4 linked regions of the Saccharomyces cerevisiae S288C genome follow. The gene in region 3 interacts genetically with the main gene of each other region. Each region holds a gene or a part of one and is shown on either strand. Other genes may lie near its edges.

Region 1 (8,203 bases), on a different chromosome or scaffold from region 3:
AGCTATCAACAGTTATTTTGGCAACCATCGCTTTTTTTTGGACTTGCGCACGCACACCATGCTTATGAGCAATTACAGGAAGGCTCCATGACAACTGTTTCCATTCTGCTGACAACATGCTTCCAAATTTTATACACAACACTTTTTGGAGGGTTAACCAAGTTTGTATTCGTAAGAACAGGCGGGAACCTATGGTGCTGCATAATCCTGCATGCCCTTTGCAATATCATGGGGTTTCCTGGTCCTTCAAGATTGAATTTACATTTCACAGTAGTAGACAAGAAAGCTGGACGCATTTCCAAATTGGTCTCAATCTGGAATAAGTGCTACTTCGCACTGCTGGTCCTTGGATTAATATCCCTGAAGGATACCTTACAAACTCTGGTAGGAACTCCTGGTTATAGAATAACCCTTTAGCCTTTTTTACGTACTTGTATACCGTTTAAAATTTCCTATGTACTATAACCTTTTTTCACTACTATTATGGAATTCTATCGAGCGACCGGGCTTTTGTTACGGAAGAGTGAAAAAATCGAGTTTTGGTGTTTTGGTGAAAGAATTTGGAGGACTATAAAGTACCTATACTTTGTATTACGGACTCAATAACAAGTCGTTCGTGTCAGTGGTATTGAAGTTGTCAGATCTAAGAGTAGAGAGAAGGTGGCATCTAATAGGTTTCGACGTTTTTCTTTTTTTAAGGTTTTTATTTGGTCTCCTAGAATTTAAGGTCTTAGTTAGTTTTGGTTTGTTTTGTGGGTTACATATTTTCAATTCAAAGGAGAATTTAGCTGTCTTTTATAATGTCCAATAGAGATAACGAGAGCATGCTGCGTACTACATCAAGCGATAAGGCGATCGCTAGTCAAAGGGATAAACGGAAGTCTGAAGTTTTGATTGCTGCACAGTCCCTTGACAATGAAATCCGCAGCGTAAAAAACCTAAAAAGATTGTCGATTGGGTCAATGGATTTACTTATTGATCCAGAATTAGATATAAAATTCGGTGGGGAATCTAGTGGGAGACGATCATGGTCTGGCACGACATCCAGTTCTGCGTCAATGCCAAGTGACACAACCACCGTTAATAACACACGATATAGCGATCCAACTCCGCTAGAGAACTTGCATGGGAGGGGTAACTCAGGGATAGAATCCTCCAATAAGACTAAACAAGGTAACTACTTAGGTATAAAAAAAGGTGTTCACTCTCCATCCAGGAAATTAAATGCTAACGTATTAAAGAAAAACTTATTATGGGTTCCCGCCAATCAACACCCTAACGTTAAGCCTGATAATTTCCTAGAGCTTGTACAAGATACTTTACAAAATATACAACTAAGCGACAATGGTGAAGATAATGATGGGAATAGCAATGAAAATAACGATATTGAGGATAATGGGGAGGATAAAGAATCACAATCATATGAAAATAAGGAGAACAACACTATCAACTTGAACAGGGGGCTGTCAAGGCATGGAAACGCGTCACTAATACGAAGGCCTTCAACATTGCGGAGGTCATATACAGAGTTTGATGATAACGAAGATGACGATAATAAGGGAGACAGTGCCTCTGAAACAGTAAATAAAGTCGAAGAAAGAATCTCCAAAATAAAAGAGAGACCAGTGTCGTTAAGAGATATAACTGAAGAACTGACAAAGATCTCAAATAGTGCAGGACTAACCGACAATGATGCCATTACATTAGCCAGAACTCTTAGTATGGCTGGTTCATATTCAGATAAAAAAGATCAACCACAACCGGAAGGGCATTATGATGAAGGAGATATTGGTTTTTCAACTTCACAAGCGAATACTTTGGATGATGGTGAATTTGCCTCCAATATGCCCATCAATAATACCATGACATGGCCTGAACGATCGTCACTGAGAAGGAGTAGATTCAACACTTATCGAATCAGGTCACAAGAGCAAGAAAAAGAAGTAGAACAAAGTGTGGATGAAATGAAAAACGACGACGAAGAACGTCTAAAATTGACCAAGAATACAATAAAGGTCGAAATAGATCCGCACAAATCCCCTTTTAGACAGCAAGATGAGGATTCTGAGAATATGAGTTCGCCTGGGTCAATTGGTGATTTTCAAGACATTTATAATCATTACAGACAGTCTAGTGGCGAGTGGGAACAAGAAATGGGAATAGAGAAAGAAGCCGAAGAGGTACCCGTCAAGGTTCGAAATGACACAGTAGAACAAGACTTAGAGTTAAGAGAGGGAACAACAGACATGGTAAAGCCAAGCGCAACGGATGACAACAAAGAAACGAAGCGACATCGTCGAAGAAACGGATGGACATGGTTGAACAATAAAATGAGCAGAGAAGACGATAACGAAGAAAACCAAGGGGACGATGAAAATGAAGAAAACGTGGATTCACAAAGAATGGAGCTCGACAATTCCAAAAAACATTATATTTCTCTATTTAATGGCGGTGAGAAGACGGAGGTGTCAAATAAAGAAGAAATGAACAATTCAAGTACTTCCACCGCCACATCACAGACAAGACAGAAAATCGAGAAAACTTTTGCGAACCTATTCAGAAGAAAGCCACACCACAAGCATGATGCATCATCATCACCCTCGTCGTCACCATCATCGTCACCATCAATACCAAATAACGATGCCGTGCACGTTCGCGTGAGGAAAAGCAAAAAGCTTGGTAACAAAAGTGGAAGGGAGCCGGTTGAACCCATTGTGTTGCGCAATCGCCCTCGTCCTCACCGTCACCATCACAGCCGTCATGGTTCCCAAAAAATAAGCGTAAAAACCCTTAAAGATTCTCAGCCGCAGCAGCAGATACCATTACAACCACAATTGGAAGGCGCAATAGAGATAGAAAAGAAAGAGGAAAGCGATTCCGAGAGCTTGCCCCAACTACAGCCGGCCGTTAGTGTAAGTAGTACCAAAAGTAACTCTAGAGACAGAGAAGAAGAGGAGGCAAAGAAAAAGAACAAGAAGAGGAGCAATACGACAGAAATTTCCAACCAACAACACTCCAAACACGTCCAAAAGGAGAATACCGATGAGCAAAAAGCTCAACTACAAGCTCCAGCTCAAGAACAAGTCCAAACTTCAGTCCCAGTTCAAGCTTCAGCCCCAGTCCAAAATTCAGCCCCAGTCCAAACTTCAGCCCCAGTTGAAGCTTCAGCTCAAACTCAGGCTCCAGCGGCACCACCATTGAAACATACCTCCATATTGCCCCCAAGAAAGCTTACATTTGCAGACGTCAAAAAACCTGACAAACCAAACTCCCCGGTTCAATTCACAGACAGTGCCTTTGGGTTCCCACTGCCTTTGCTGACAGTGTCTACGGTTATCATGTTCGACCACCGTCTACCAATTAACGTCGAAAGGGCCATATACCGGCTGAGTCACTTGAAATTGAGCAATTCGAAGAGGGGACTGCGCGAGCAGGTATTACTAAGTAACTTCATGTATGCTTATCTGAACTTGGTTAATCACACTCTGTACATGGAGCAGGTAGCCCACGACAAAGAACAACAACAACAACAACAACAACAACCCTGAAAAGGCTTCAGCGCTGCATACATAGACATATACACATCACACGTACATACACGAAAAGATAGCTTTCATGCTCACAAAGCTACGTTCCCCACAGAATATTTCCCAGGACAACAGGGAAAGTTGGACAAACACCAAACTTCTCATAATACAATAGCCGAAAACAGTCTTGCTTTTGATAAAGAGAGCTTTCTGCGGCCGGAAGAAAATGTGCCTATTCCGCGGGGCCGTTCCGCGCAGAAACTACCGCACGACGTCGGAAATATAACGGGGTTTTGCGCGGATTTACTGACGTGTGACATCTTTTCGCAGTTAATTTTTTTTTCAATTTGGAACCGTATAAGAACAGAGGTATTAGATAGTAGAAGCTATTGTGTCTATTGTCTTTGATTAGTTTTTTTTTCTATTGTTATCGTGGCAGGCACTAAAAGCGGTGGTAAGCTAAAACTAGTACGAAGATGTCGACTAATACTTCCAAGACTTTGGAACTGTTTTCAAAAAAGACGGTACAAGAACACAATACTGCCAATGACTGCTGGGTCACTTATCAAAACAGAAAGATTTATGACGTGACCAGGTTTTTGAGCGAACACCCTGGTGGTGACGAGTCCATCTTGGACTATGCTGGTAAGGACATTACTGAGATCATGAAAGACTCAGATGTGCATGAACACAGCGACTCCGCGTATGAAATCCTTGAGGACGAATATTTGATTGGTTACTTGGCAACTGACGAAGAGGCAGCGAGATTGTTGACTAACAAGAACCATAAGGTTGAAGTGCAGTTGTCAGCTGACGGTACTGAGTTTGACTCCACTACTTTTGTAAAGGAGTTGCCCGCCGAGGAGAAACTAAGTATTGCTACGGACTACAGTAACGACTACAAAAAGCATAAATTTTTGGATCTGAACCGTCCTTTGCTGATGCAGATTCTGCGTAGTGATTTCAAGAAAGATTTTTACGTTGACCAAATCCATAGACCAAGACATTACGGTAAGGGGTCTGCCCCGCTATTTGGTAATTTCTTGGAACCATTAACTAAAACAGCTTGGTGGGTTGTTCCAGTTGCTTGGTTGCCTGTAGTTGTGTACCACATGGGTGTTGCTTTGAAGAACATGAACCAGCTATTTGCATGTTTCTTGTTCTGTGTCGGTGTCTTTGTTTGGACTTTGATTGAATACGGTCTTCACCGTTTCCTATTTCATTTCGATGATTGGTTACCTGAAAGTAACATCGCATTCGCCACACATTTTCTACTACATGGTTGCCATCATTACTTGCCCATGGACAAGTACCGTTTAGTTATGCCACCTACTCTGTTCGTCATCCTTTGTGCTCCATTTTACAAGTTGGTATTTGCTCTGCTGCCACTTTATTGGGCTTACGCTGGTTTTGCTGGCGGTCTTTTCGGTTATGTCTGTTATGACGAATGTCATTTCTTCTTGCACCACTCTAAATTGCCTCCCTTCATGCGTAAGTTGAAAAAATATCACCTGGAACATCATTATAAAAACTACCAACTGGGATTTGGCGTCACATCCTGGTTTTGGGACGAAGTTTTTGGCACCTACTTAGGCCCCGATGCCCCATTGTCCAAAATGAAATATGAATAATTATTGGTCAGCCTCGTCCAAAATTGTCAACCTAGGAAAAACAACATTACGAGCAATGAAATCTTGAGCAAAGTTCTTTTCTGCGACATATTTATTTCAAATCTTTATTTATATTATTATATGTAACTACGTATATATACATACACATGGAATGGAATCATAGATGAAATCGATGAACAAGCACGTTATTTCTTAAACGAATATCCAATCGATGACGACTATACGAAAAAGCGGCCTCAAAAAAGAACCGAATTGACAGGTACATTTTTCTTTCACAGATCAGGTTGGCAAAAAAATACTAACCGTATCCTGTGTTACTGTCGTTAGAACAGGAATCAAGATGAGCACAGTGAAGTTATCTGATAGTCCCTAGACTCTCATTGACTTTTTGTAATATTAGGACACAGAATATACTAAGGGTTCTTCTCGAGAATAAATGAACACATAAGCAAATCAGAAATTCTACATACTATAAGAGTACCTCATACCTAATCATTTCTTAATCCATTCCGTTATCAGTAATTGCATTCGAGGTTCCATTAAACTGGTGCCGACATTTATATAGTTATATTGGTCCAATGATCTTATCATCCTCCACACCGTATACAACTATATCTTAGTAAACAACGGCTAGTAAGTGAAACGATGGTCCATTTTAGGCACGAAGAATAAAGTAAAATCTGTATCTGCGTTGCGCAAATCATCAATTGCATTTATGTTGGAACGAGAGTAATTAATAGTGACATGAGTTGCTATGGTAACAATCTAATGCTTACATCGTATATTAATGTACACCTCGTATACGTTTAAGTGTGATTGCACCTATTGCAGAAGGAATGTTAAACGAGAAGCTCAGACAATACTGAAGCTGTGTTAAAGACCTATTAGTTGAACATGTTATGGTAGGTACATATATGAGGAATATGAGTCGTCACATAAATGTATAGTAACTACCGGAATCACTATTATATTGGTCATGATTAATATGACCAATCGGCGTGTGTTTTATATACCTCTCTTATTTAGTATAAGAAGATCAGTAATTATTTCTTCATTAATACTATTTTTTACCTCTAATTATCAACAATTTACATAGCCCAAAGTCATGAGGAGAGCTTCTACTATAAACCTCACTCACAATTCTTTCTTTAGTCAGACGTAGAAACCTAAGATTTGTTAGTATATACGGTTTTCCGTACCAGTACAAGATCCATTGCTTGCGATATTGTTAAAATAGGGACCATCTTTCTTAAAAAGGTTCCATAAAACCGGAAGTTTTAGTGTACACTAACAACAGAAGAAAAAGGTCCTATAGTGTAGTGGTTATCACTTTCGGTTCTGATCCGAACAACCCCAGTTCGAATCCGGGTGGGACCTTCCCTTCATTTTTCGTATTTTACGAAATTTAAACCATCATTTTTTTTTTTTGAACCAATGCGAGAAAAAAATAAAAAGAGAAAGGTAAGAAAAAGAAACCAACCTCTATACAGATACAATCGCTCATCTCGATATACTTATTTTTACATACCAGAGATATCGAAGAAGTTACTCAATTATTTGACAAGTGCTCATCATTATGTCATTTGAAGTTTTGCGTGTGACAGACAAGTCCTAATAGGATATCCTTTAGATAAACCATTGGGGCCCCTTATATGAGGTTTATACACACACATATATATGTATACATATGGCTAAATTGCCTTCTGAGAGCCTGATAGTTTTTTTAGCACTTTATTCTTTCACTTGTATTTTTTTAGACATTTCACGTATTCGGCTAATGGTATGGCACTTTCTCACGTGCCTTTCAGACTATGTAATATAAACTGTTCTAACCTGCTCTACACCTGACTCACATGACAGCATTTCCTTTCAGAATCACATAACATTTTTTGGTTTTAATTATCATATGCATTTCAAGGGAGTCATACATAACCTTTCGGGAAAGGCCCCTTCGCTTCCTAATCTAGGGTAAAAGGCCATCACAGGCTCTTTTATATAGATTAAGAACTAAGGAAGTGTCACGCAAAATAGTCGAGACCTAGAGCCATCAAGAATAATAAAACATAATCCAATAATGTCTGCATCTACTACAAGTTTAGAGGAATATCAAAAAACTTTCCTTGAACTGGGATTAGAATGCAAAGCACTAAGATTTGGGTCATTCAAGCTGAATTCAGGCAGGCAGTCGCCATATTTTTTCAATCTTAGTTTGTTCAATTCTGGAAAGCTGTTGGCAAACCTTGCCACCGCGTATGCAACTGCTATCATTCAATCGGAGCTTAAATTCGATGTTATTTTCGGACCTGCTTACAAAGGGATCCCTTTGGCTGCTATTGTATGCGTTAAACTAGCAGAAATCGGGGGCACTAAATTTCAAGGTATTCAATATGCTTTTAATAGAAAGAAAGTTAAAGACCACGGCGAAGGTGGTATTATTGTTGGAGCATCGCTTGAAGACAAGAGGGTGTTGATTATCGACGATGTCATGACTGCAGGAACTGCAATCAATGAAGCATTTGAGATAATCAGTATTGCTCAAGGTAGGGTAGTGGGTTGTATTGTTGCTTTAGATAGGCAAGAAGTGATTCATGAATCTGATCCGGAAAGAACAAGTGCTACCCAATCTGTTTCAAAGAGATACAACGTTCCTGTGCTAAGTATTGTATCACTGACTCAAGTGGTACAATTTATGGGAAATAGACTATCACCAGAGCAAAAATCAGCGATTGAAAACTACCGTAAGGCCTATGGTATATGAACTATAGAACTGACATGGACCATTTGATTATCATTGTTTGTATAGGAAAGAATAAATTTTTCTTGTATTCTTTTTTAATCAGTATACGTAAATAGCTTTTTATTGTTGGAGTTACGTGAGTTCTCGCATAGTAATTCATCAACTATTAGTGTCTTTTAAGGTTTCTTACTTTTCTTTTTGTCATGCTTCACTTGAGAGGATTTCTACTACTTTCCATAATTTTTCACTAAAATATTTTTCTTCTACAAAATAAACAAAAAGGCCTTTCGTGTTTGAAGATTACTCAG
Region 2 (8,419 bases), on a different chromosome or scaffold from region 3:
CTTTACAGAAGCTAGCCTACTTGCTCGGTAAAGAGGATCTGGAATAGTTATAACGGTTGGAGAGGCAAATTGAGGGTTTTATTTATATGTGTACTGAAAATATACCAATTTTTTCAATCAAAAAACCCCGATGCGGCCGGCCGGTATATATGGTAACTAACATGAAATAATGCACCAGAGTAGTTGATGAAATGTTTCTGAAGAATAAGGCGATAAACGATAGGCAACTGTGTAGATTTAAATATTTGGCCAATCTCTATGTACTTTCTCTTTTTTTCCAGTGTCAAATACTTGTAGAAACAGTCTAATTCATTAAGAAAGTATATAAAATCTCTCTATATTATACAGGCTACTTCTTTTAGGAAACGTCACATTCATGTGTAATTAGGGGTATTGGATCTTGTTGATCTAAACCGTGTACCATTTGCGGCAGCTTTTTCCACCTGGACGTTGTTTTTGTTTTTTAAGTCGTACTGTCGGTTCATTAAGGTTATGTAATTCTTTAAGAATTTGTTTCTTGCTTTAAGCGACTGAAAATCATTCTGTAAACGTTCCAGCTCCTTCTTCAAGCTTTCTGTGGAAAATTTAGTCAGTGGACCATTAACTTCGTTTTCTAAAGACTTCATTGATTCTTGCAAAATTTTCAATGTTTGCGCGGACTCTGCGGCTTTTGAAGATTCTATTTGATATTTGGAACGTAGTTCATCATTGAGCTTTGATTTTTCCGCATTTGCTTGTTGGAGTTCCTTTAACTTATTAAAAAGAGTCGCATTTTTGTCTATGTATTCCTTCAACTTGTCTGCTAAGGCAGATCCCTCTTCCAGATGATTTTCTGATGAAATAGTATTCGAGGGCAATTTGTTGAAATTCTCTAGTTCCTGCCTATTTTTCAGTAAGTGATTTATTTTATTTTGTAGCTTGGTAGATTCTGTCATCGCATGCTTCAACCTTTTTTCAGAGTCATTAATGGATTTTTCCACTTCTTGTTTTTTCTTGAATGTAAGACCAACAGAATTCTTTATTTCGTCCAACTGGTTCTGCCGTTGAGTTTCGTTTAATCGTTTCTCGTACAGTGGAACAGTGCCTTTGGCATACTCGTCCTGTATATCTCGCAATCTTATGACGGCTCTATGCATTAACTCTGTTTGGTAGGTTTTGATATCCAATGGTCCGTCCCAAAGGGGCAATTCTGTAGACGAATATTGCAATTTTGTTAATTGAGGCTGCCAAAACCCAGAATCGCTCGAATCTTTGGAGGCCTCATCTAACGTTATCAAATCCAAAACCGGTAAAATGTTATTGCAATCTTTCCCCTCTAAACAACACTTTACCAATTTAATATAATCAATCTCACAGTTGTTCACCGGAGCATTCCTTGCTTGCAAAAAATATAGTAAGGAGGATTTGATCTCTTCATATTCTTGGCTATCATCGACATGACCGTTATTGCTCAAATGCGACGATTTAACACTTGAATTCTTGATTTCAGAATCTAACAAGTAATGATCTGGAGAATTTTGTACTAATAGCTTTATTATCGGAATATCCTTATTGGCATTATTCCTCAGTACCTGCAAAGCGGGCAATTCAACTTCCAACATTGGATCAAAACTAATTATCATATCTATATCATAGTTAGCCAATAGGTATTGATCGTGTTTGAGATGTTTGGTAGTGGCTAAAAACAGCCAGTCATCCGTATTTATTTTTCTTTTTTTCAGGTTTCTTTTCACTGAGTAATCATAGTCGTCCTTAGAATAACCTGTATAAGAGGTCGAATTGGAATTAGAGCTTGTGCTGCTTACAGAATTTGGTGTTCCATCTTTATTTATTGTGGAATCGACCGTAGGTAGATTAGGGAATTTGTGTTTCTCATTATAAAGAGATGTACCGGAAAGTCTCTTGGTTCTGAATTTCTTGCCTAATATTAAACCTTCTAGCAAATCTAATTCCTTTATGCTGTGTGCGATGATGGCACATTTTATAACTTCGTTTGGTGAGCCCTCTCTGTCTCTAAAGCATATCGAATTAATGAGCTGGTTGAGAACTTGAAACTTGTGGCTCCCAGCAATAGAGCTTTCCGTGGGCTCCATTCTCAAAAGCTGTCGAGGCATATAATGGTCCACTAGAAGGGAAGGATGATTGGCTATTGCTCTTATGTTTGAATCAAAGATATAGGTTAATTGCCTTTGTGATAGCGTTGGATACGGATGTGTTTCAGGGCCAGCAGGTAAGCCGGAAGGCTTGTTCACTGCATCTGCCTGTGGTTCTCCTATTATGCTTGCTTTGAATGACTTGGCGTGCAGGGATATCAAAATTTCTGATAAATCCTTTTGAAATTGGGTTAGCGTTACAGGTAAGTAATAGACTTTTAGTTTCTTAGAATTTTTCCTACTCATGTCGATAGTATTGTATCTATTTTCTTTATTTTTCACACACTAATGAAGCCAAATACTTTTACTACTACTTAAACGCCTTCAATCGTTCTCAATTCTGTCTTTTTAAAAAAAAAAATTTTTTGTTACCTCTCCTTTCTCGATGTTCTACTAGTTGTGGTTACTCTTCTGTGCCGCAATTATGTTATTTTAGTAGGACTGTATTTTTTTTTTTTCTTTTGTTGTCGCTTTTCTTATATATCTATATAACTATTTATTTGGGCTGTAGAGAACTTTCTCAGGAAATATAAACTAGGAGACATTCGTGTAAGCAATGAACCATATACGCCACGGTTAAATTTCAGACGTGCATAAAGTTGATGATTCCTGTCAAGTTAACGACTCATTTTGTACGGTAGACGGGAAAAATACATTTCCTACAATATTCTCTTTTCCGATATTCAGATACTAAAGGAAAAAGTGAAAGTAAGGCTATATGATGAAATGTAGAGGAAACGGAAAGAGGAGATCCTGTGAGGAATAAATAGAGAAACAGCGACGGAAAAATCGATATTTCAGGGCAAAAGCATGAAGGTAAACCATTCAATTTCAAGATTCCGCCCCGCTTCATGGTTCGAAAAGACAAAGATAATCCCACCCCAGGTATACATCTTTAGGAACCTAGAGTATGGACAAGTACTATATTCTCAATTTCCCAACTTTTCGCAAACACAGGTGGATAAGCTGTTTGTGAGACCAAACTGGAGCAACAGAAAGCCATCATTGAGAAGGGACATCTGGAAATGTATGTGTGTAGTGAACTTGCAAAACTATAAGCAGAGTGTCCATCTATACCAGAACCTCTGCCGGTTGAGATACCTCCGTGATGTGGCACAGCGTAAGGAGAGTGACAAGCTAAGAAAAAAGGACTCTAACGGGCACGTCTGGTATAGCGGACAGTATAGACCTACATATTGTCAAGAGGCAGTGGCAGACTTGCGGGAGTCCTTGTTGAAGGTGTTTGAGAATGCCACACCAGCAGAAAAGCAGACAGTACCCGCCAAAAAACCGTCCATATACTGGGAGGACCCATGGAGGATGGGTGACAAGGACAAACATTGGAATTACGATGTGTTCAATGCTCTGGGGCTGGAACACAAGCTTATTCAGCGTGTGGGGAACATTGCGAGGGAAGAAAGCGTTATTCTGAAGGAACTAGCTAAGCTCGAATCACATCCTACAGAGCAGACGGAAGTGTCTTCCCAGTAGAACGCTTCGTCATTAGATATACAAATGCAGGTAGAAAAAAAAACATATATAAGCTCATGTAAATAGTGCAATGCAAACCTTTCTGCCAAATCCCGTTCCACGGAAAAACACGTGCTGTGCGGGTATCCGCAAAAAGAAGATAGGTCAAAACAGGAATACACAGGGCTAGTCTTTATTACTGCCGCTGCTGCTGCTGCCGCTGCTACTGCTGCTGTTGTGTGACTTGAAACGCGTTTTATCCTCCTCACCTTATCGTCATTTCTCTATCTTTTTCACTTGCACAGCTTAATAAGCTTTTCGACCTCCTGTTTCCTATTGTCTTATTCCCTCACCCCGCGTCCTTCTTCGGGCAGTCGCGCTTTTCTCCGGCTTCTGCGGTTTTTCTTAGTCTTTCCGCACCAATTTTCACAGAAAAATTTCTTTTTGGGTTACTAAAAATTTCTTGTTTGCTATTGTCTTGATTTATTTCACTCTTTCTTCATCCTGCTGCGCTGTTGTTGCCGCATTTTTCGTTTCGTGTTTTGGGATTATAAAAGAAGTAACGATTTACATATCTTCTATTCCCTTGCATTTACTCCGGGTCTTCGTCTTTACTGTTTGGTCTGGGTATTTCTAACATTCTAGTCCGAAGAGGGTGTATACGAAAAGAAAATATACGATGAACGTAACATCGAATGCAACTGCAGCCGGTTCCTTTCCACTAGCATTTGGTCTCAAGACCTCATTTGGGTTTATGCACTATGCCAAGGCCCCTGCCATTAATTTACGCCCCAAGGAATCCTTGCTGCCGGAAATGAGTGATGGTGTGCTGGCCTTGGTTGCGCCGGTTGTTGCCTACTGGGCGTTGTCTGGTATATTCCATGTAATAGACACTTTCCATCTGGCTGAGAAGTACAGAATTCATCCGAGCGAAGAGGTTGCCAAGAGGAACAAGGCGTCGAGAATGCATGTTTTCCTTGAAGTGATTCTACAACATATCATACAGACCATTGTTGGCCTTATCTTTATGCACTTCGAGCCGATCTACATGACTGGGTTTGAAGAAAATGCCATGTGGAAGCTTCGTGCAGACCTTCCTCGGATTATTCCAGATGCCGCTATTTATTACGGCTATATGTACGGAATGTCCGCTTTGAAGATCTTTGCAGGCTTTTTATTCGTTGATACATGGCAATACTTTTTGCATAGATTGATGCATATGAATAAGACCTTATACAAATGGTTCCACTCTGTTCATCATGAACTATACGTGCCATATGCTTACGGTGCTCTTTTCAACAATCCTGTTGAGGGCTTCTTGTTAGATACTTTGGGAACCGGTATTGCCATGACGTTAACTCATTTGACTCACAGAGAGCAAATCATTCTTTTTACCTTTGCCACCATGAAGACTGTCGATGACCACTGTGGGTATGCTTTGCCACTTGACCCATTCCAATGGCTTTTCCCTAATAACGCTGTCTATCACGATATCCACCACCAGCAATTTGGTATCAAGACGAACTTTGCTCAACCATTTTTCACTTTCTGGGACAATTTGTTCCAAACTAACTTTAAAGGGTTTGAAGAATATCAAAAGAAGCAAAGACGTGTCACCATCGACAAGTACAAAGAGTTTTTGCAAGAGAGAGAATTGGAAAAGAAGGAGAAACTCAAAAACTTCAAAGCTATGAATGCTGCTGAAAATGAAGTAAAGAAAGAGAAATAACCCTTTTGCATACCTCCCGTTCAATTGCTGGGTAAAGGCAATGTCTCCGACTTCCCACGTTTGTATTTATTATCCATTTATATACATCAAGACATATTATTAAGTGTATAGGCGTGACTTTGACTATATATTTGATTTGTAACGAAAGAATACATCAAAATTCAACTATGAAATGGTTATTATTGTGCATGCACATCTTGAATTATCAAAAAGGTCTTAAATGTTCTTCGGACTTTCTTGAAATCTTCGAAAACTGATGAGAATTCTTCATTATTTTTTTTTTTCTTCTTTTATTATTTTTTATGTTTATTCCATATATACACTTATAATTTTTTTTTTTGCGATTAATATAAGTTTGCCTGGATACACGAACATATATATGATTAAAATGGTTGTCTCGAACAAAAAAATTCACTTTTTAGAGGGGTTTCTTATTTATTCGTATATGTACGTAATTTTGATGTTTAGGAAAAATTCACGGAAAAGAATATATATTTGAACAGAATCAAAAATTAGGAGGGAGGCAAAGAAAGTAACATCAAACGAGTTGAGCATATCCAACTATATTATTAACGTTAAATGCTGTCCTCTAAGACCTTATTCAGTTTTTGAATCTTTGTAGAAATGCTTAAGTCAACAGTCTTGTCACCAAGTTCTACAATCAAACCACCCTTAATCTCTGGCTTAACCACGTTTTCCAGCTTCAAAGATTTACCTTGCCCCACCAATTTGGAGGCGCTCAAAGCTTTTTCAATCCTCTTGAAAGATTTAGGATCCAATGGTTCAGCACTAGTCACTGTACCTTTAAGTAACCCGTTGTGAGCATCGTTTAAAACGCCAAAGTCAGACGCAATTTTTTCAAAACATCCCAGTCTGTTATTTTCGGAAAGAACCTTCAATAGGTTAACGACATAACCATCCAAATTCTTGTGAGTCTCCACGATGGCATCAATGACAGAATTTCTGTCCTTCAATGACAATGCAGGATTCAGTAATAAGTGACCTAATTTTGGATTCTTTTTGACTGTGCTTTCAACTTTTTGCAAAGATTGAAAGGCAGCATCAATAGAGGAGTTCTTTGCAGCGGCCTGATATAAAGCTGTTGCGTAAGTGCCCTCAACACCGAACAATCTCACCGGTGGGGGAGCAGCAGCTTTGGAAGCAGCAGCTCTTAAGCTTGATGCAAATGACCTGGTAAAGACTCTATTAAACATGATTGTCCACGGTTTAAAAATAATGCGGTAACTTGCTAATCGGTTCTTACTCTGCGGAAAAATATCTCAATGCCACAGTAGCCTGCTTAAATTTCCAAGTTGACTGAATTTTGTTTTCAATGAGATAAAAACTAGAAATACTGTACACAAAGTTAACAATTGGCGTTTGAAATTGTTCCTAGATAATTGAAAGTTTTACTATCTCGCCAAAAGATCACTTCATTATCTTTAATTCCTTGTTTTTCCCACCCGGGCCCGGGTAAATGATATTTCAAATATCAGCATCTTATTGGCCAGCACCGTCTCTCGAAAGTGTCCACTTTATGACGACGGCATAAAATATAACGATTTATTGGACGTAAGTAGTTTTATAAGTTACTAAACCAAGATTATTCCGGCAAAAAAATGAACTTTAAGAGATATCTGAGCGCTTCGTATTTCTTGGTAGTCCCTTATAATGTACTACATTTATGTAGACCAGGTTTGCAGCCAGATCTTACGGGAAAGAGATTTTACGGCTCCCAGTCCGAGCTTTTCCATATACTACTCTAATATACAATGCATTCTTAGATTTCTTAACTGCTGCATATGCTGTCTTTGGTCCTTTGCAAGCCTATTACTGCGGATTTAAGTTTTTTCCACTGATCGTTACCCGAATTTATGGGTTCTGAAAAATTAGAAGATGGAAAATTTTTCAATACGCGATGAGATGAGATAATTGTATATATGTAGTCGCATCTTGATAGGTATGCAGCGTACCATACATTGAGTAACAATAAGCACTGTTACCAATAAATATAGAGCAAAAAAAGATGGAAAAATCACTAGCGGATCAAATTTCCGATATCGCCATTAAACCGGTCAATAAAGACTTCGATATTGAAGATGAGGAAAATGCATCTTTATTTCAACACAATGAAAAAAATGGAGAAAGTGATTTAAGCGACTATGGAAATAGCAACACAGAAGAAACCAAGAAGGCGCACTATTTGGAGGTGGAAAAGTCTAAGTTAAGAGCAGAAAAAGGTTTAGAACTAAACGATCCAAAATATACAGGTGTTAAAGGTTCAAGACAAGCATTATATGAAGAAGTTTCCGAGAATGAGGACGAAGAAGAAGAAGAAGAAGAGGAAGAAGAAAAAGAGGAAGATGCTCTTTCATTCAGGACAGATTCTGAAGATGAAGAAGTAGAGATTGATGAAGAAGAATCAGACGCGGACGGCGGTGAAACGGAGGAGGCTCAACAGAAAAGGCATGCACTATCGAAACTAATTCAACAAGAGACTAAACAAGCTATTAACAAACTGTCTCAATCAGTTCAAAGAGATGCTTCGAAGGGTTATTCCATTTTACAACAGACAAAATTATTTGACAACATCATTGATTTGAGAATAAAACTACAAAAAGCTGTAATTGCAGCAAATAAGCTCCCATTAACTACAGAGTCCTGGGAAGAGGCTAAAATGGATGATTCAGAGGAAACAAAGCGTTTGCTGAAGGAAAACGAAAAACTGTTCAATAATTTATTCAATCGGTTGATAAATTTCAGAATAAAATTCCAACTTGGCGATCATATCACTCAAAATGAAGAGGTGGCGAAGCATAAATTGTCCAAAAAAAGATCTCTCAAAGAGCTTTACCAAGAAACTAATAGCTTAGACTCAGAACTAAAAGAGTACAGGACTGCCGTATTAAACAAGTGGTCTACCAAAGTTTCTTCTGCATCAGGTAACGCTGCTTTATCATCTAACAAATTCAAAGCTATCAACTTACCTGCAGATGTACAAGTCGAAAACCAATTATCCGATATGTCCCGTTTGATGAAAAGAACAAAGTTGAACAGGAGAAACATA
Region 3 (7,415 bases):
CAGATTCCACCAACTTACTCAATGTATCCTCGTACCGGCACAAATCTTCGTAGAGTTGGACCTTAGATAATTTGTCTTCACTATTCGTGTTTGAAGTAGCCTCTGCTACCAGGGATACAGAGGATGATCTGATGTGACCCATAGAAAACTCTACCGCTTTAGTATCTTGGACAGACATAACATTCGTTGTGTGTACTCTGGAAGTAATTGATACTAGATGCTTTCTCCACCGTTAACAATATACCAGAAAACCTTGTTGAAAACGGGACACGTTATAACTACTTTCCTTCGCGGTATGGTGAGCAGAGAATGCAAAAGTTTATCTTTTTCTCCAGCCTACCTTACGTAGGTGGTAATGCACTATTTTTTCGCATTTCTTTGAAAAGGCTGGCAATACGTCAAAGGCTATGTATGCTATAAGGGAAAGAAAGCTTATACGGAAAATAGCAACTGAATGTACTATGTTACTGTGCATTCGCATTCTATGTTAAAATTCAAAATCCATTGAGATGTATACACAAACATTTAAATAAGACATTTATATAAGCCGGCGCTTCCTGAAGTTCAGCACATGAAAAAATAGTGCTGCTCTTCTACCTTCAACCCAAATTGGTATTGAACCCAGAGCCTTTTTCAGGACTGGTTGCGATACCATCATGCTTCAGTTGCTTTTCAACTTCTTCCTTAAAGCCCTTTTTCCATAAATCATGATTTTCACCAATGACATAAGTAAGCGTCTTCTTCATATAACCTTCAGGACCTAAGAAACCCAACGCTTCTATAACATCTTCCAACAGTATTGTCATTCCGGAGCCTCTCTCCTCGCCTACTCCTGGATGCCTTATATTCACTATATGGACATGAAAATGGTAATATGAAGGTTGATAATGAATGAAAACTCTTAGCTCGTCCGGGTTTACATTATAGTCATAGTGCTGGGGGATGATGGTCTTAATCTTCTTATTGAGTCTAATTAACCAATCTCTATGGTTTGGGTTCAAATCTCTCAAAGATTTGATGTCGTCCCTGTACACGATCGCGACCAGGTATAACGAATCAATGTTGATTCCGTCCCACTTCATATCGGGCAAGATGACGAATCCATCCTCTTTATTCCTGCTACTGTATTCCTTATAAACAACTCTATCATCCTCGGCGCCCTCGTAAAGAATGTTGTTTACCCATTTCATTCTTTCGCTGGTACACATCTCTTGGATAAAGGGCACAACTATGTTTCTATACATATCAGGAGTTTCTCTGACGACATGTAAATCCTGCTGGTCGTATCCCTTGATGTGGAACTGCGAGGCGGGCCAAATTAAGTTAACCTTCGCAGTTGGGTTATGCAAAATATGCTGCTTCAAAACAGACAACCCCCAGTAGTAGATGTCATTCGAAGTTAATTCCTTCAGATCAGTAATACCGTTTAAAAAGGAGTACTCGTCTATTTCACGATGAAAGAAAATCGGAGTGCTACGGCCACTTTGAGAGGGTCTACGTACCGTTTCATCAAATATGAAATGCGTCTTTTCAGCAGTTAACACGGCATCCTTCCCATCTATGCTGCCTAGTAGTGAGATTACCTTTGTATGAGGGTTCGAATCTAACACCCTGACGTATTTAAACCTCCCAATTAAACTAGCTAAATCTTGGGAACCCATCATGTATTTTTTTACTTTTACACGCTCAAATCTTTTCAATTTTGCAATGAAAAGGTACCGACCTAACATATATTTGAAGACCAAACGAAACCCCCGTGCTTCTGTTTCTCTTCTTTCTGCCTTTATACTCATTGGTATTGTCACCCCTTATTTCCCCCCTAGGCGTCTGCGCGGCCGCTGTCATGGGGCTGTCCTTTCGGACTAGCATATAATCACTGACGCTAGCTCTAATCGATCAATAATTAAGTGGAAGTATTTTGTTGAGGTGGGTGATTATTATGGGGAAGATTTTTGACAATCGAATGAACACTTTAACAGCTTTTGGAGGCTAGAGTGCCAGTAAGCTCCATACTTCTTTGGAGTTGATTTCTTTTTCTTGCAGAATAGGTTGGACAAAGTACATCCATCAGAACAATTGCAGGTGCCTTTTGTTCACGCAATTACTGGCTTTTCCTTGTTTGTTTGGTCAAGAAGTTAGTGTTTAGCTTTTTCCCTTCATTTTTTTATTTTTCTTATTTTATAGATGCTTAAATGTCATTTTTGTCTTACTAATCATTAAATAGTTGGTCCGAAAGATAGGTCCAAGCGCAAGTCCAAGCCAATGGCTTGCTCTCGACTGTCTTCCATTACAATATGCAAGTTTTCTATCTAGCTGCTGTCGCAAGCATGTTTTTTTGTAAAAGAACTTCTCCTCTACTGCGTATCAAATAAATATTTATAATCTGGCTGACTCATTAGTTCCTCCCAGCCAAGGTTGTACGCCGTCCAAAATTCGTTGGATATTGTCTGTGCCAGTTCAGTCTCAATTGGCCCAGTTTCATTGTTATGCGAAGCGTTTTCGCTGTTATTTCGCACTTCCTCCGGGGGTAATCCTGGAGAATTTCCCGCCAATGGACTGGCGCTTGTGACGCCCAGGTCACTTAAACTGGGATCGATTGGAGTATTTACATTGTCAGTGAGCGAATAGGACCCATTCAATTCGTCTTGGAGTTGTTGTAACCATGTGTTTTCGACCTCGGTTCTATATTTGATTACTTTTTCCAAAACAGCTCTATATATGCTTTCCAGGGCGATGTTGATAACAAATGTATAAGAGCGAGCCATAATAATTCTTAACTGCTTGTTGTTATCATTAGACCATTTAGCAAATATATCTGAATGTATTTTGAAAGCAGTAAGTAAGTTCATAGCTTTATCCAACGGGATATTCAAGGTTGACAAATCCCAATCTGTGACTTCTTGATCTTTGATGTTGGATGATAGATAATAGCCCTTCTCAAAAAGAGTTAACTTATGATACAAAAACGCACAAAAGCCAGTAGAGGCCCTAGGAAAAAGGAAATTTGTGTATACTAAAGACAAGGCCATAAATGGCGGTAAATGAACGCAATTATGATCAAAAAACTCAGGAAAATGCTTCTCATCTAGGTTAAAACACAGTATGGTCGTATTGATGACAAGGGAAAAAGAGACCAAAATGGTTTGCAGGATGTTGTTCTCTAAAACAACGCTTTTTTCCTTGTAAATCAAATACCTCAAGGAATAAAACGTCAACAACAAATTCAAAACCTGCGCAAGCACTTTAATCTCGCACAAAGGAACTTTAGATATTAACTCACTGTCAGTGTAATATGATATTGGGTGGAATTCAGTCTCTACAAAGTTTCTTAGTTTTTTACAATTTTCGGCTAAGTCTGGAAATGCGCTTCTATCATAAATTTGATCTAGCATTGGTCGAGCTAATCTTAAAAACCTTTTAAGCTTGCCCATGCAGGAATTTGACTGATCGAAAAAAACCGTCGATGAATAATTGTTTGTATTTTTAGGCAACCTCTCACCATTCTCGCATTCATCGACTTGAAAATAGGATGAGTTAATCGCCAAACATCTCCCAATATTTAAAGAAACATTGAAATCTGATAATATAATCCAAACCCACAAATTTTCCAAACTTTCCATACTCCCCACAATATTTTCTTGATTTTTGTATATTTCTCTTATATTCAAGTGTAAACCCAGCATAATTGCCGTGCTGCATAATAAGTCAACTAGACTAATCATATGCGAATCGTCTCCACACGCCCAAATTAGTTCTCGATGATAGTATTTCAATAAGAGAAATTGAGCGCGTTCAATGAAATATACTTTAGCTGTTGACAGTCCCGTCAGCATGATGAGAAATTTCTCTATCTCTTCCGGAGTATTTTTGTAGAAATGGCGAATACACAGTATCATCAAAATAACTCCAATCTTATAATAGTTTTTCTTTGTCGATGGTAATAACTTTTCAATCCGCCTTTCACCGTTGGGTAACAGTTCGTCACTTGGAAGAAACGAGGAAGTGAAATCGTTTATTATTTTGGTTTTATCTAATACTTCACTAACTTCATTAGTTTCCAGTTCAGTATTGAAAAAGTCTGTTATAATCTTTGACGATTGTTCAAAAGATGGCAAAACGTTACAAACCTGTTGCAAGATGTCAGAGCCTGTCTTTTCTAACGGCGGTCCCTCTAGGAGTTGAGTTTCTGGCTTCATTGTCCATTTATGCCTAGCCTTCCATCTGTTTCTCTCGATTTTCACTTTGGACCAGAGCTGATTATACGTGTTTACAAACCGATTATCATCGTTTGAGAGATGCGTTCTCAAAGATGTAGGACCATATACTATTCTTCTTCCCGAGCCTTTACATTGTAAATAGTAAAAATTAGCGTAAGGGTTCCTAAATGGGCTCGTACTAAGCGCTACATCCTTCTCCGTCAACTCTTTGTCATCTAGTCTTTTCTCTAAATCCTCAATCCTTTTCAACAGTTCAATGTTCGGAGTACTGCCAAATAACTCTTTTGTTTCTATTTTGTGGGTGAATTTCTCTGTATACAGGCAACCAGAACGACCCCTCGTCTTACAAGTTGAGCACATTGGCTTCTGCTGGTCGCAACGTAATTTCCTTTTCCTACAAAAAGCGCATGACTTTATTGGTTTCCGTCTCTTCTGCGCCTTCTTTACAGTTTCCTCCGATGGGGAAGCTCTATCCTGTAAACTACCCCGCTTACTCATTAACAACTCCCTTTACCAGGACCATTCAATGTGCTTTCCCCTCTGACTTTCTATACTCTTGCCGTTATTATTACAATACCACCTGGCATTTGTCATTTTATCGCCTTGTAAACCATGGGTGTCACCCTACTGCCGAGCCTGAAAAAAACGTGCTGCAAGGGTCTTGAAGCAAAAAGATGATTTAACGGAAGAAAGGCATACAAGAAGGTGAAAATTCGTGTTTAACCCATCTGATACTTTCCCTTGTCTAACGTACTGATCCTGGAGGTTATCAAGAACACAAAAGTCTAGCAGCGAAAAGTACGCGAAGAATCTACTATAGATAATGGTGGTGCAGAAAAAACTTAGGGCTATCTTGACCGATGAAGGTGTATTGATCAAATCGCAATCACACCATATGTTCAATAAGCATGGTCAACTCAGAAGCGGAGATTCTTTATCCTTGTTGAGCTGCTTGTCCTGTCTGGATGATGGAACTTTGAGCTCTGATGGAGGTTCTTTTGATGAGGATGATTCCCTGGAACTGTTGCCTCTTAATACTACCATTCCGTTCAACAGAATTTTGAACGCAAAATATGTGAATGTCGGTCAGAAAGGCTTCAATAATGGCAAAATTTCTTCGAATCCTTTTCAAACGGAAAATCTGAGTTCTTCGTCTGAAAATGACGACGTTGAGAATCATAGTTTGAGCAATGATAAGGCTCCTGTAAGCGAATCACAGTCATTTCCCAAAAAAGACAAGTGGGATACAAAAACGAACACTGTGAAGGTGTCTCCCGATGATTCACAGGATAACTCACCATCTTTAGGGATAAAAGATAATCAACAGTTAATTGAGTTAACTTTTGCTGTACCCAAGGGCCATGATGTTATACCACAAAAATTAACCTTGTTAATAGATCACGTTTCTAGGAAATCGAGAGCAAATACCGGAGAGGAGAACATTTCTTCTGGTACTGTGGAAGAAATCCTGGAAAAAAGTTATGAAAATTCCAAGAGAAACAGATCGATATTAGTCATTATTAATCCCCACGGTGGTAAAGGTACTGCTAAAAATTTATTCCTGACAAAAGCAAGGCCAATACTAGTGGAAAGTGGCTGCAAAATAGAAATTGCATACACAAAATATGCCCGTCACGCCATCGATATTGCCAAAGATTTAGATATCAGCAAATACGATACCATTGCATGTGCCTCGGGTGATGGTATTCCATACGAAGTAATTAATGGGCTTTATAGAAGACCCGACAGAGTGGATGCGTTCAATAAACTAGCCGTAACTCAGCTACCTTGCGGTTCAGGAAATGCTATGAGCATTTCATGTCATTGGACAAATAACCCATCGTACGCCGCTCTGTGCCTTGTCAAATCCATTGAAACAAGAATAGACTTAATGTGTTGTTCCCAACCTTCTTATATGAACGAATGGCCAAGATTATCCTTTTTGAGTCAGACGTACGGCGTTATTGCAGAATCTGATATTAACACTGAATTCATCAGATGGATGGGTCCCGTTAGGTTTAATTTGGGTGTAGCATTCAACATTATCCAAGGTAAGAAATATCCCTGCGAAGTTTTCGTCAAATATGCTGCCAAATCTAAAAAGGAATTAAAAGTTCATTTCTTAGAAAATAAAGATAAAAACAAAGGATGTTTAACCTTCGAACCAAATCCTAGCCCAAACTCTTCGCCGGATTTACTATCTAAAAACAATATCAACAACAGTACAAAAGATGAACTTTCACCGAATTTTCTCAACGAGGACAACTTTAAATTAAAGTATCCGATGACGGAACCAGTACCTAGAGACTGGGAGAAAATGGATTCAGAGCTAACTGATAACTTAACAATCTTTTACACAGGGAAAATGCCGTATATTGCTAAGGACACCAAATTTTTTCCCGCTGCTTTACCAGCGGATGGTACCATTGATTTAGTCATAACGGATGCAAGAATCCCAGTGACAAGAATGACACCAATTTTATTATCCTTGGATAAAGGTTCTCATGTATTAGAGCCAGAAGTTATTCACTCAAAAATATTGGCTTATAAGATTATACCAAAAGTGGAGTCAGGTTTATTTTCAGTGGATGGTGAAAAGTTTCCTTTGGAACCCTTGCAAGTGGAAATAATGCCCATGTTATGCAAGACGTTGCTAAGGAATGGTAGATATATCGATACAGAGTTTGAATCCATGTAGATTAACGTTATATTTTCCTTCAAAAATGATTTTTTTGTAAAAAGAAATACTACATCGAAAAGAAAAGGCGATATAATGTTTCTATCATCGGAGTATGGTTTATATTCCATTTTTGTTTTCATTATAATTATACATCCCCAGTTATATATCATTAATACGTAACAATATTATGAGTTGGTCTTTATTATCTAATATAATTAAAAAATTTACACTATTACATCATTTTCAACCAATAGGATATATATATAAATATATACATATATGCACATTAAATCATTCACTTGGAAGTTGCGTCCTTCAAGCTAACTATTCTATTCAAAATAACCTTAGAAGTCGTACTCTCTTTATCCAGAGTGAAATAACCTACTCTCATAGCTTGGAATCTACACACTTCTTTGGAATCCTTATCTTCTTCAACATAAAATTCCGAGTTTTTAACAGAATCAACGACCCATGGACTGTTCTTGACAACGTCCCCGAAGTTATGTTCCATGACAGAT
Region 4 (8,492 bases), on a different chromosome or scaffold from region 3:
TGCTGTCAACATTTGGTTAGCCAAAGTATATTCAAACAAATCTCTTGGAACGTTTGCGTCCGTGTCGATCTCAAATTTGCCGAATGATGGGGATTGTTCAATGGTCTTGGCGTTAAAGATCGGTTTTTCAGATGGTTCAAAAGATAGGGAAGACACTGGGTCATTGTAGAAAATGGAAATCTTTGGGTAAGTGCCGGCCTTCATGACACTCAATAACTTATCGGCAATCAAAGCAGATTCTTGGAAAGTTGGGGCATCTTTACCAATTCCATTAATAGACAATTTAATGTTGTTAGGATGGGTTCTCAATAGCTGCATTTTAATTTTATCACCAATAGTGACTATATCGGCGTTTGGTTGATCATTCAAATGTCTTCTCACAGCTTTAGCCAATTGAGAGTGGATAGAACCACACAACCCCTTATCAGAGGTGATAGCAACAATCAACTCTTTAGGAGCACCTGTTTCAGTAGCCTCAACATCCAAATTTTTGGTTTCGGCGTTCTTGTAAAACAACTGCTCTGCTTCATCCATCTTCTTTGCGGAAATTTTAGCCTTTTCAGCTTTACTCAATCTTGTAGATGCAACAATCTTCATAGTTTTTGTGATCTTCTCAATATTTTTGATAGATTTCAAACGCATTTCCACTTCTTTCAAAGTAGCATAAGTTCTCACTGGGTTAGTCTTATAAAGAATACCCACTTGCGCTTGGTGGCACATTACGGAGCGTGTTGCATTGTTTGATACAATTCTTGACAACATGACTACTAAATAAAATAATGTTTACTGCTCGTCTTCAATTGTTTCCACCTGAAATTAACCAAAACGGTTCAGTCTCAATAGTTTCTTATTTGTCTTTTTTAACTGAGTGATAATCATTTAAGCATCTCCCTTCCGGGCCTTCTTTAATCGTTATTGCGGTCCGGGTTCCTCGCGTAGTTACTCGCCGCTCATTGGTTCTCCATCACGTGATAAACATTTCTTCCAAATAAATGAGAACGTTCATTAAATATCGAATAATTCACTTATTATATCTCCATCATATACTTACTAGTTCTAGCGACAGCTCCTATTCATATATCTTCTTACTTTTTTTTTGTTTTATCGACAATTGCTCTACGTTTCGACGTCTAGAAAATGTACTAAAACAGTGCGCTCTCTACCCATAAGGATGAAGAATACGTAATAACAAGAGTTTATTCTCCTTAGTATGTATTTGATAGCACACTCAGAAAGATGAGTTACTACTTGGAAAATCTCAAAAGCTCTTGATGCCCAGCTCATACATAAAAAAACGCCGGAGAACTTTAGCGTCACCAGTTACTGCGACACGGCTTTTAGAGAGGAAAGTAAAGGTCTATGAGTAAAAAGATAGATTATGTTATGCTACATTATATTTGGTATTGAAACATGTATATTATATATAAAAAGTCTAAGAGAGAAATGTCAAAATATCCTAGAAGGTAATGGTTGTCATAACCTGTACATTCTAAAACAGAATGAGAAAAAAGAGGGAATGACGAGAAATTAGCTGAAAAATACTGGCATTAGCCCTTTTTGTGGAAAACATTTGGTAAGTCTAATTTAGAGACTTCCCATGAGCCGCTACCTTCAACTTTATTTCTGTAACTCACTATTATACGCAAGTATTTCATGAACAAAAAGGCCATGGAACCAACCACCCTAAAGGCAGCTAAAGCGGCCACAGACCATAAAATGAATATCAAATAACCATTGTCAGTATCTTGTGGTGTAAAGACTTGAATTATAGACATGATCAGTATTAGATTTGATAGCATCCAAATCATCACAATTCTGGTTCTTATATCTCTATAATAATCATTCTTGGATTGTTTTTCATTGCCGCTTGATTCTTCAAATTCTGGTTCTTTCAAACGACTTTTTATTTCCAAAAACTTCTTATCAACTTCCTGAGGCCAATCTGTTTCCACAATCTGTTTCCCATCTGGACCTTGAACGACAATGGCCTTGGACAATTGCTTGGACTCCTGTGTGGAACCTTTAGTACCCCAGGAAACGTCGTGTGTATTACAGAAGGCAAAAATCTGTAAAGTACACGTAAAGGCGGGAAGTGTCAAAAAGTATTGTATGGATGATGTAAACATGTGCCAAGGATCTAGGTACATCAGTGATGAGAAAAAGTATAGGCCATAGGTGGAGAGCAATGAGATAACGATGTCGACAAATATTTTGTGGGATTCCGTTCCAGAAGCTAACGACTTGAAAGCAAAAACAAACCCACAAATTAGAGAATATGTGGCACATATAGACAGTATAACCATGGAGGTAATGAATAAATGTTTCGCGCCCTGGGGTCTATTACCCATGGAAATAATGAATAAACTTGCCAAGTCACAAAAGATCAGGTATTTAAAAAAAATGAATAAGGCCTCACCATGTTTAATAACTAAATTCATTGATCCTGCTAAATAATAAAAGGTAAGAACGAAATTTGCAATAGAAAACCAGGAAAAAAGCATCTGAATAAATTGATAAAGGAATTCAACATGAAGAAAGAACTTGCGTACAACAGAATGTTTAGTTTTCCAAATTTGGTAGAAATGCAATTGAGCATAAATTGCGGCAAACATTGCACCATTTAACCAACGTCTTCTTTGAGAAATAAATTCAGAAACGTCTTCGGGAACATCCGTTTCACCAGTGGCTTCCTTAACATATTTTAGAACCCATTTTGCATCTCGCTTGGCGACCAATTCCCAACAAAGAATTCTATCTTCAGCCAAGTACATATTTGCAGTGAAAACATCATGGTCTCTGCCTTCTTGAGTTTCACCAAGGAAATACGATCTGAGAGGGCCAGTGCCATCTTCATGATTTTTTAAGGCTCTATACCTATATGCGGACAGGGCACCAGGAAGAACAGAGATATAACCAAAAACACTTTCTAATGGTTTATCTAAAATATTCGAGATCTTATATTCAAAATTTTGCGATGCAACTAATGGATTGAAAAGTTTCAGTCCCCACTTCCCCTTCATAGTCTTAATCTGACCAGCCGCACCAGCCACATTTGAATCCATATCAAAAACCTTCCATAACCTGTAAATTGCTGTATTGTTTAAACGTGTACCGACATCAACCAAAGTAACTACAGTAGGTTGCAAAACGGGACAAAACGCGTTGAATAGCCAACGATGGGAATTGATCTTTTTCTTATTTTCTTCTTTTAGACAAAAAACCAATTGCACAGGAACAATGTCCTTTGAAACATAATCCAGATCGGCGTTGATAGAGACCTGAGTTGTCAATTCAAAAATGTGCGCTTTTACCGGATCACCATTCACAGACGCCTTGGCCATATCTTCTTGATAAACACCCAAAGCAGCTAAATAGTCGAGAGACCCTTGGTTGACTTTTGCTCTACCGTCACTAATCAGAATTACAGAGACTTTCTTCCAGCCATTGGGGCCCCAAACATGAGATTTTTCACGCTTACAAAGATGAGCAACATTCTTCATAATGGAGTGGATGGTTCTTGCCAATGAATATTTATCTTCATTGTACATGGTAATACAAATGGCAATTTGACATTCTCTGTTCATCTCTGCGAATCTCAAAGTGTAACCTTCTCTCAAAAAATCGTCAGGTTCCACAGTGCAGGCTGTATATCTCATTTCCGTAAACTCAGGGGAGTTCCTACGAGGCAAAGTATCCAACAGACCTTTTGGTATCGGGTTGTCTAGTTTCAATAGTGCCTTCTTCTTGCTTGGGGGAGGCAAGTCTGAGACCATTCTTCTCTTACTCTCAGAATTGGCACGTCTTACATACTGCTGTCTTGTTGGATGGTTCAGTTCAAATTTTGTTTCATTGAAAGTGTCTGCAGAGAAAATTGTAGACTGATCATCATAGGAAGTAGTCGAAGTGAGGTATTTTTCCTTTTCATCGTCTGCTTCTGCCAGAGAGGGAGCCGTTGTGGAAGTAGTAGACATCGTGTATTTCGAGCTTTGAGAATACAATCTGCCACTTCCAAACAGATTGTTACTGGGCTGTTGCTGGGGTGATAGATGGTAGGGGTCTACCGGTAGATCTGCATTATCGCGGGGGTAAAGGTTACTCCCCTCACTTAGATGTATGACAGCCTCGCCTGCTCTTTTGGGAGACTCTTGTAGATTAGCAGCATACCTGTTCGGAGCAACTGGAGAGTTATGGGCACTATCGCGGTAAAATTGAGTTCTATGGCGACGGTCTGGGGAGTATCTTAGTGCAGCTCTCGAAGGAGATGCCGGAAGGCCTTGGAAAACGTTAGATTGGTCATAGCTATCCTCCAAACTCTCCTCACTGGGATTAGCCCACCGAGAGTTGCTGTTAGCGTTTGCGTAAAATTTGGAGAGGTTTGAAGCACCACGTCTATTAGGAGAGCCATTCGAAGGTTCCACCATAAACGGGTTTCTCGTCATTTCTATATGTGGTTCTTTGGTTTTTATTTGGGTCTATATGTAACTTCCTCTGTTTTCTCTTCTGAGTCACGAAATCAACAGTAATATTATGGAAGATAGTTAAATAGACTGGGGCCATCCCAAGGGAGAGTCCTCGAATTCCCAATTGAAACTAAATTGAAGTTCTGTAAATTTCAATATCGATGCTATCATACTCAAATAGGAAATATATAAACAAATAGTATAGGGGTTTATACTAGGGTTTTAAACCCCAAAAAACTAACCCTACTATCTTCTTTTCAGACCCTAAATTGAAGGAAATAAACGGGAATAATAATCAATAGCGATCTCCCGAAGAGAAAAGTGAGAAAATAGTATAATTGTGTCTATTGTGTTTATAATCGGCATTAGAAACGTATGTTCGTATAAGGCAAGGGAAACAGAAAAAACAGCAAACGTAGAAAAGATGCTGAAGTTGTCAAGAAGTGCCAATCTAAGATTGGTCCAATTGCCAGCCGCAAGATTAAGTGGCAATGGCGCTAAATTGCTCACTCAAAGGGGATTCTTTACTGTAACGCGCTTATGGCAGTCAAATGGCAAGAAACCATTAAGCAGAGTACCTGTGGGCGGTACTCCCATTAAGGATAACGGCAAAGTGCGAGAAGGCTCGATCGAGTTTTCCACGGGAAAGGCCATTGCTCTATTCCTAGCAGTCGGTGGGGCACTTTCTTATTTCTTCAACAGGGAGAAACGCAGATTGGAAACACAGAAGGAGGCTGAAGCAAACAGAGGATACGGTAAACCTTCACTTGGGGGACCCTTCCATCTGGAGGATATGTATGGCAATGAGTTTACGGAGAAAAACCTTCTCGGTAAGTTTTCTATAATATACTTTGGGTTTAGTAACTGTCCTGACATCTGTCCTGATGAACTGGATAAGCTAGGTCTATGGCTTAATACACTCTCTTCAAAGTATGGTATTACTCTGCAGCCATTATTTATAACTTGTGATCCAGCAAGAGACTCCCCTGCTGTATTGAAAGAGTATTTGAGCGACTTTCATCCCTCCATCCTGGGTTTGACGGGGACGTTCGATGAGGTGAAGAACGCATGCAAGAAGTACAGAGTATACTTTTCTACGCCTCCAAACGTCAAACCGGGCCAAGATTATTTGGTAGACCATTCCATCTTCTTTTATCTCATGGACCCTGAAGGACAGTTTGTTGATGCTTTGGGTAGAAATTATGATGAAAAAACGGGCGTGGACAAGATCGTGGAACACGTTAAGAGTTATGTGCCTGCAGAGCAGCGCGCCAAGCAGAAGGAGGCATGGTACTCCTTCTTATTCAAATAAGATTGTAAATATATGCTACTTTCTTCCTTGTATATACATATATACTTATAACGCTATAACCCGTTCTTGTAATATCGGCTATCACCCGGCGAAGGTGTATCGCAAGAAAAAAAAAAGCTCTCTCACTCTAAAGGAGGCTATGTGAACGTGGGAAGATCAAGTGAAAGAAATGTTTGTAGGCCATTTTCTTCCAGAACAGATCCGCTCTTGAGCTGGTGAGTTAGCACGATAACAAACAAAGATACAGCGTCATGTCTACCACACTACTTTGGTTTTCAAGTGTAATAGGCTACGTGATTCAAACAAAATGTTTGTCTAACATACAATCTAAAAAGGAAATCTCCGTGGGGCCCAATGGTACAATTGCAACGCCTGAAACTAACGGCGACAACGGAAACTCAAGTTCATTAACCTTCTATCTGACCTTTATGTATTTTGCTTCGTGGCTGCTCTTGGTGCCTGCATCTCGACTTTGGGAGAAGATGAGACCGATGTTTGTCTCTGACTCAGACTCGAACAGGAATTCTCAGTTTGACAACAACAACAGCGGGTCTGTGACAAACGAAGATGTCGATACGTTCTCGCACGTGTTGGATGATCCTCAACCACGGATTCCAGCCCAACAGCAGAAGCAAAAAATCATATCCGTGGCTACCTTCAAATATGTGGCTAAGCTAACAGTGCTGGCTCTCATAATGATTGTCGCTGATTTGACTTATAACATGGCTTTGTCATTGTCACCGGCATTTGATGTTGCTTTGATGCAAAATACTGCCATTTTCGAAATTGTCACTTTACTATATGGTGTTTGTGGAATCTCCAGGAAGAACTACGTTTTCCGTAATTTCCTCATCATGATGAACGCGGTCATTGGAATTTTGATCATCTCATACACGAAGGCTACCTGTGACATGCTTGCCGGAAAGCTGTCCGTCAACCCTAACACGGGTGAACTTTCTGACCCATTCTTGTTTGATAGGTTGAAAGGTGCTCTGATTTGCGGCCTTGGTGCTTTGATTATGGGTCCTTTTGCCGTGTTATGGAACCGTTGGTTTTGCAGTAACATTTCCAAGAACGAAAATTCTGCTGTAGTCTTGGTTAAGCAGAGCACCCACATGGCCCTAATCGGTATTATTGGCATGGTAATACTTTTGCCATTTATTCCTAAATTTCCCTCCCGTGAGTCTGTGGAATCCATTTCGTTGTTCTATAATGACAAGAGCTTTTGGTTCTCTCTACTAGGCTCGATTATCTTTGGTTCCTTGCCGAGCTTGATTTCGATATTAGAGTTGAATCGCAAGGCCCCTGCTGAGTATTTGACGACGTGCAACCTGGGAGCTATTATCTTTATGGGGTTAGCTGAGTGGGTTTGCGAACCTACGCAAACCACAATTGTGAGATGGGAAGTCATAGGATACATAATGCTAACGGTAAGTTTGTTGGTCCTATCAGTAACACTCGGGGAAGGTAAATACCACCATTAGTACGGACAACATACTTTATATGACTGATGATGATGTAACAAGCATATGCAATTATTTGGTTTCCCTAAATAAAAAATCCCAATCAATATCTTGATTATTTTCAAGACAATTACTAGGATGTTCTTCTATTTTTTTATTTTTATTTGTATATTGTATATTCTAAAAAGAAGAAGCCATTTGGTGGGCTTTATTATAAATATTAAGAGGCATACCTCCGCCTATCCGCCTATCCTCGTCATGAACAATCAATTAAAAGCGCTTATAAAGCGATATACAAGTACAGTACGCGCGATTTCTACAATACAAAAAATATACATCAAGAAAAAAAATGTTTCCAAAAATTATCTAAATGCATCGAAGGCATTAGGAGAAGTAGCTGTGAATACAACACCAAGATTCATAAAATGAACACACGGTTCCTTCCGCTTGGAAAATAATGCGACAAAAATACCGTATTGATCATCAAAGTAGTTTTAATAGATACCTAAAAAAACCATCTTGAAAAATCTCAAATTACGTTCTTGATCTTGTGTCATTGTTCAGTTACTGATCGCCCGCAAACCTAACCGATGCTTAAGAAAGGACACCCTTGCCTTTTGGCTTATTTACCTACTCGTATTTTTCTCTGTCACATCGTTCGATGTACGGGGCACATTTGGAAATTTCATCAGTAAGTTCAGTGAATAGATTTTTTATTTTACCTTTTTGTAGTGGGATTTATTCTTTTAAAGGCAAAAATCTACTGAAAAAACGGAAAAAACTAGAATAAACCATTTCTATATATACTCATGTTCCCTGACGTTCTTTTTCCTTTTTCTTTTTCCAGAGTTAACGATAAGATAGACATAAAGTGACAGCGCTTAGCACCGTCTGTTTGCAAATCTAACTTAAACTCCTTTTTTTCTGTCACCTTAAACAGTGTCAGAAAAAATACTAGGTATAAGAAAACGAGAAAAAAATAAACAGCGAACTCGTGCAAACTTTGCTAATAAACAATTAGCTGTAACATTTGTGTGTGGGTGTGGTGATGGTAGGCTTCCCATGGTAATTAAAAGGTTAGGTCGAGAAGAGGATCGGTACGAAGAAGGAATAACAGGAATAAGTTCAAAAACACTGCTTTAGCAACTAAATGCAATAGCAGTGTTTAAGAATTTACGGTTTGCATTTTCTAAACTCAGATTTTAGCCATCTATAAGTAGAAACACAATAAAAAACCACAAATTGCGCACACACAAG

Evidence for each region.
Region 1: mutations in LCB4 (region 3) and SCS7 together harm fitness less than expected from each alone (positive genetic interaction), as found in Saccharomyces cerevisiae (4 studies listed by BioGRID).
Region 2: mutations in LCB4 (region 3) and SUR2 impair growth when combined (synthetic growth defect), as found in Saccharomyces cerevisiae (6 studies listed by BioGRID, with this or other methods).
Region 4: mutations in LCB4 (region 3) and CSG2 together harm fitness less than expected from each alone (positive genetic interaction), as found in Saccharomyces cerevisiae (4 studies listed by BioGRID).

Annotation. Positions count from the first base shown.
Region 1 is NC_001145.3:806,578-814,780, reverse strand, and holds SCS7 (fatty acid alpha-hydroxylase), read left to right. Parts: upstream 1-4,003; coding exon 4,004-5,158; downstream 5,159-8,203. Other genes in the region: RCE1 (CAAX prenyl protease), read left to right, coding at 1-417; ZDS1 (Zds1p), read left to right, coding at 801-3,548; YMR272W-B (uncharacterized protein), read right to left, coding at 3,585-3,692; orotate phosphoribosyltransferase URA10, read left to right, coding at 7,233-7,916. UniProt on the Saccharomyces cerevisiae protein: Ceramide hydroxylase involved in the hydroxylation of sphingolipid-associated very long chain fatty acids. Postulated to hydroxylate the very long chain fatty acid of dihydroceramides and phytoceramides at C-2.
Region 2 is NC_001136.10:1,052,249-1,060,667, forward strand, and holds SUR2 (sphingosine hydroxylase), read left to right. Parts: upstream 1-4,302; coding exon 4,303-5,352; downstream 5,353-8,419. Other genes in the region: HDA2 (Hda2p), read right to left, coding at 375-2,399; mitochondrial 54S ribosomal protein mL67 MHR1, read left to right, coding at 2,964-3,644; ATP5 (F1F0 ATP synthase subunit 5), read right to left, coding at 5,928-6,566; rRNA-processing protein BFR2, read left to right, coding at 7,379-8,419. UniProt on the Saccharomyces cerevisiae protein: Required for hydroxylation of C-4 in the sphingoid moiety of ceramide. Catalyzes the conversion of sphinganine to phytosphingosine in sphingolipid biosynthesis. Involved in the response to syringomycin.
Region 3 is NC_001147.6:651,510-658,924, reverse strand, and holds LCB4 (sphinganine kinase LCB4), read left to right. Parts: upstream 1-5,040; coding exon 5,041-6,915; downstream 6,916-7,415. Other genes in the region: MED4 (Med4p), read right to left, coding at 1-178; DCS2 (5'-(N(7)-methyl 5'-triphosphoguanosine)-(mRNA) diphosphatase), read right to left, coding at 600-1,661; YRM1 (Yrm1p), read right to left, coding at 2,355-4,715; GLN4 (glutamine--tRNA ligase), read right to left, coding at 7,193-7,415.
Region 4 is NC_001134.8:307,845-316,336, reverse strand, and holds CSG2 (mannosylinositol phosphorylceramide synthase regulatory subunit), read left to right. Parts: upstream 1-6,023; coding exon 6,024-7,256; downstream 7,257-8,492. Other genes in the region: ATP3 (F1F0 ATP synthase subunit gamma), read right to left, coding at 1-762; chitin synthase CHS2, read right to left, coding at 1,548-4,439; Cu-binding protein SCO1, read left to right, coding at 4,885-5,772. UniProt on the Saccharomyces cerevisiae protein: Required for calcium regulation. May regulate calcium accumulation by a non-vacuole organelle. Also regulates the activity of CSH1 and SUR1 during mannosyl phosphorylinositol ceramide synthesis.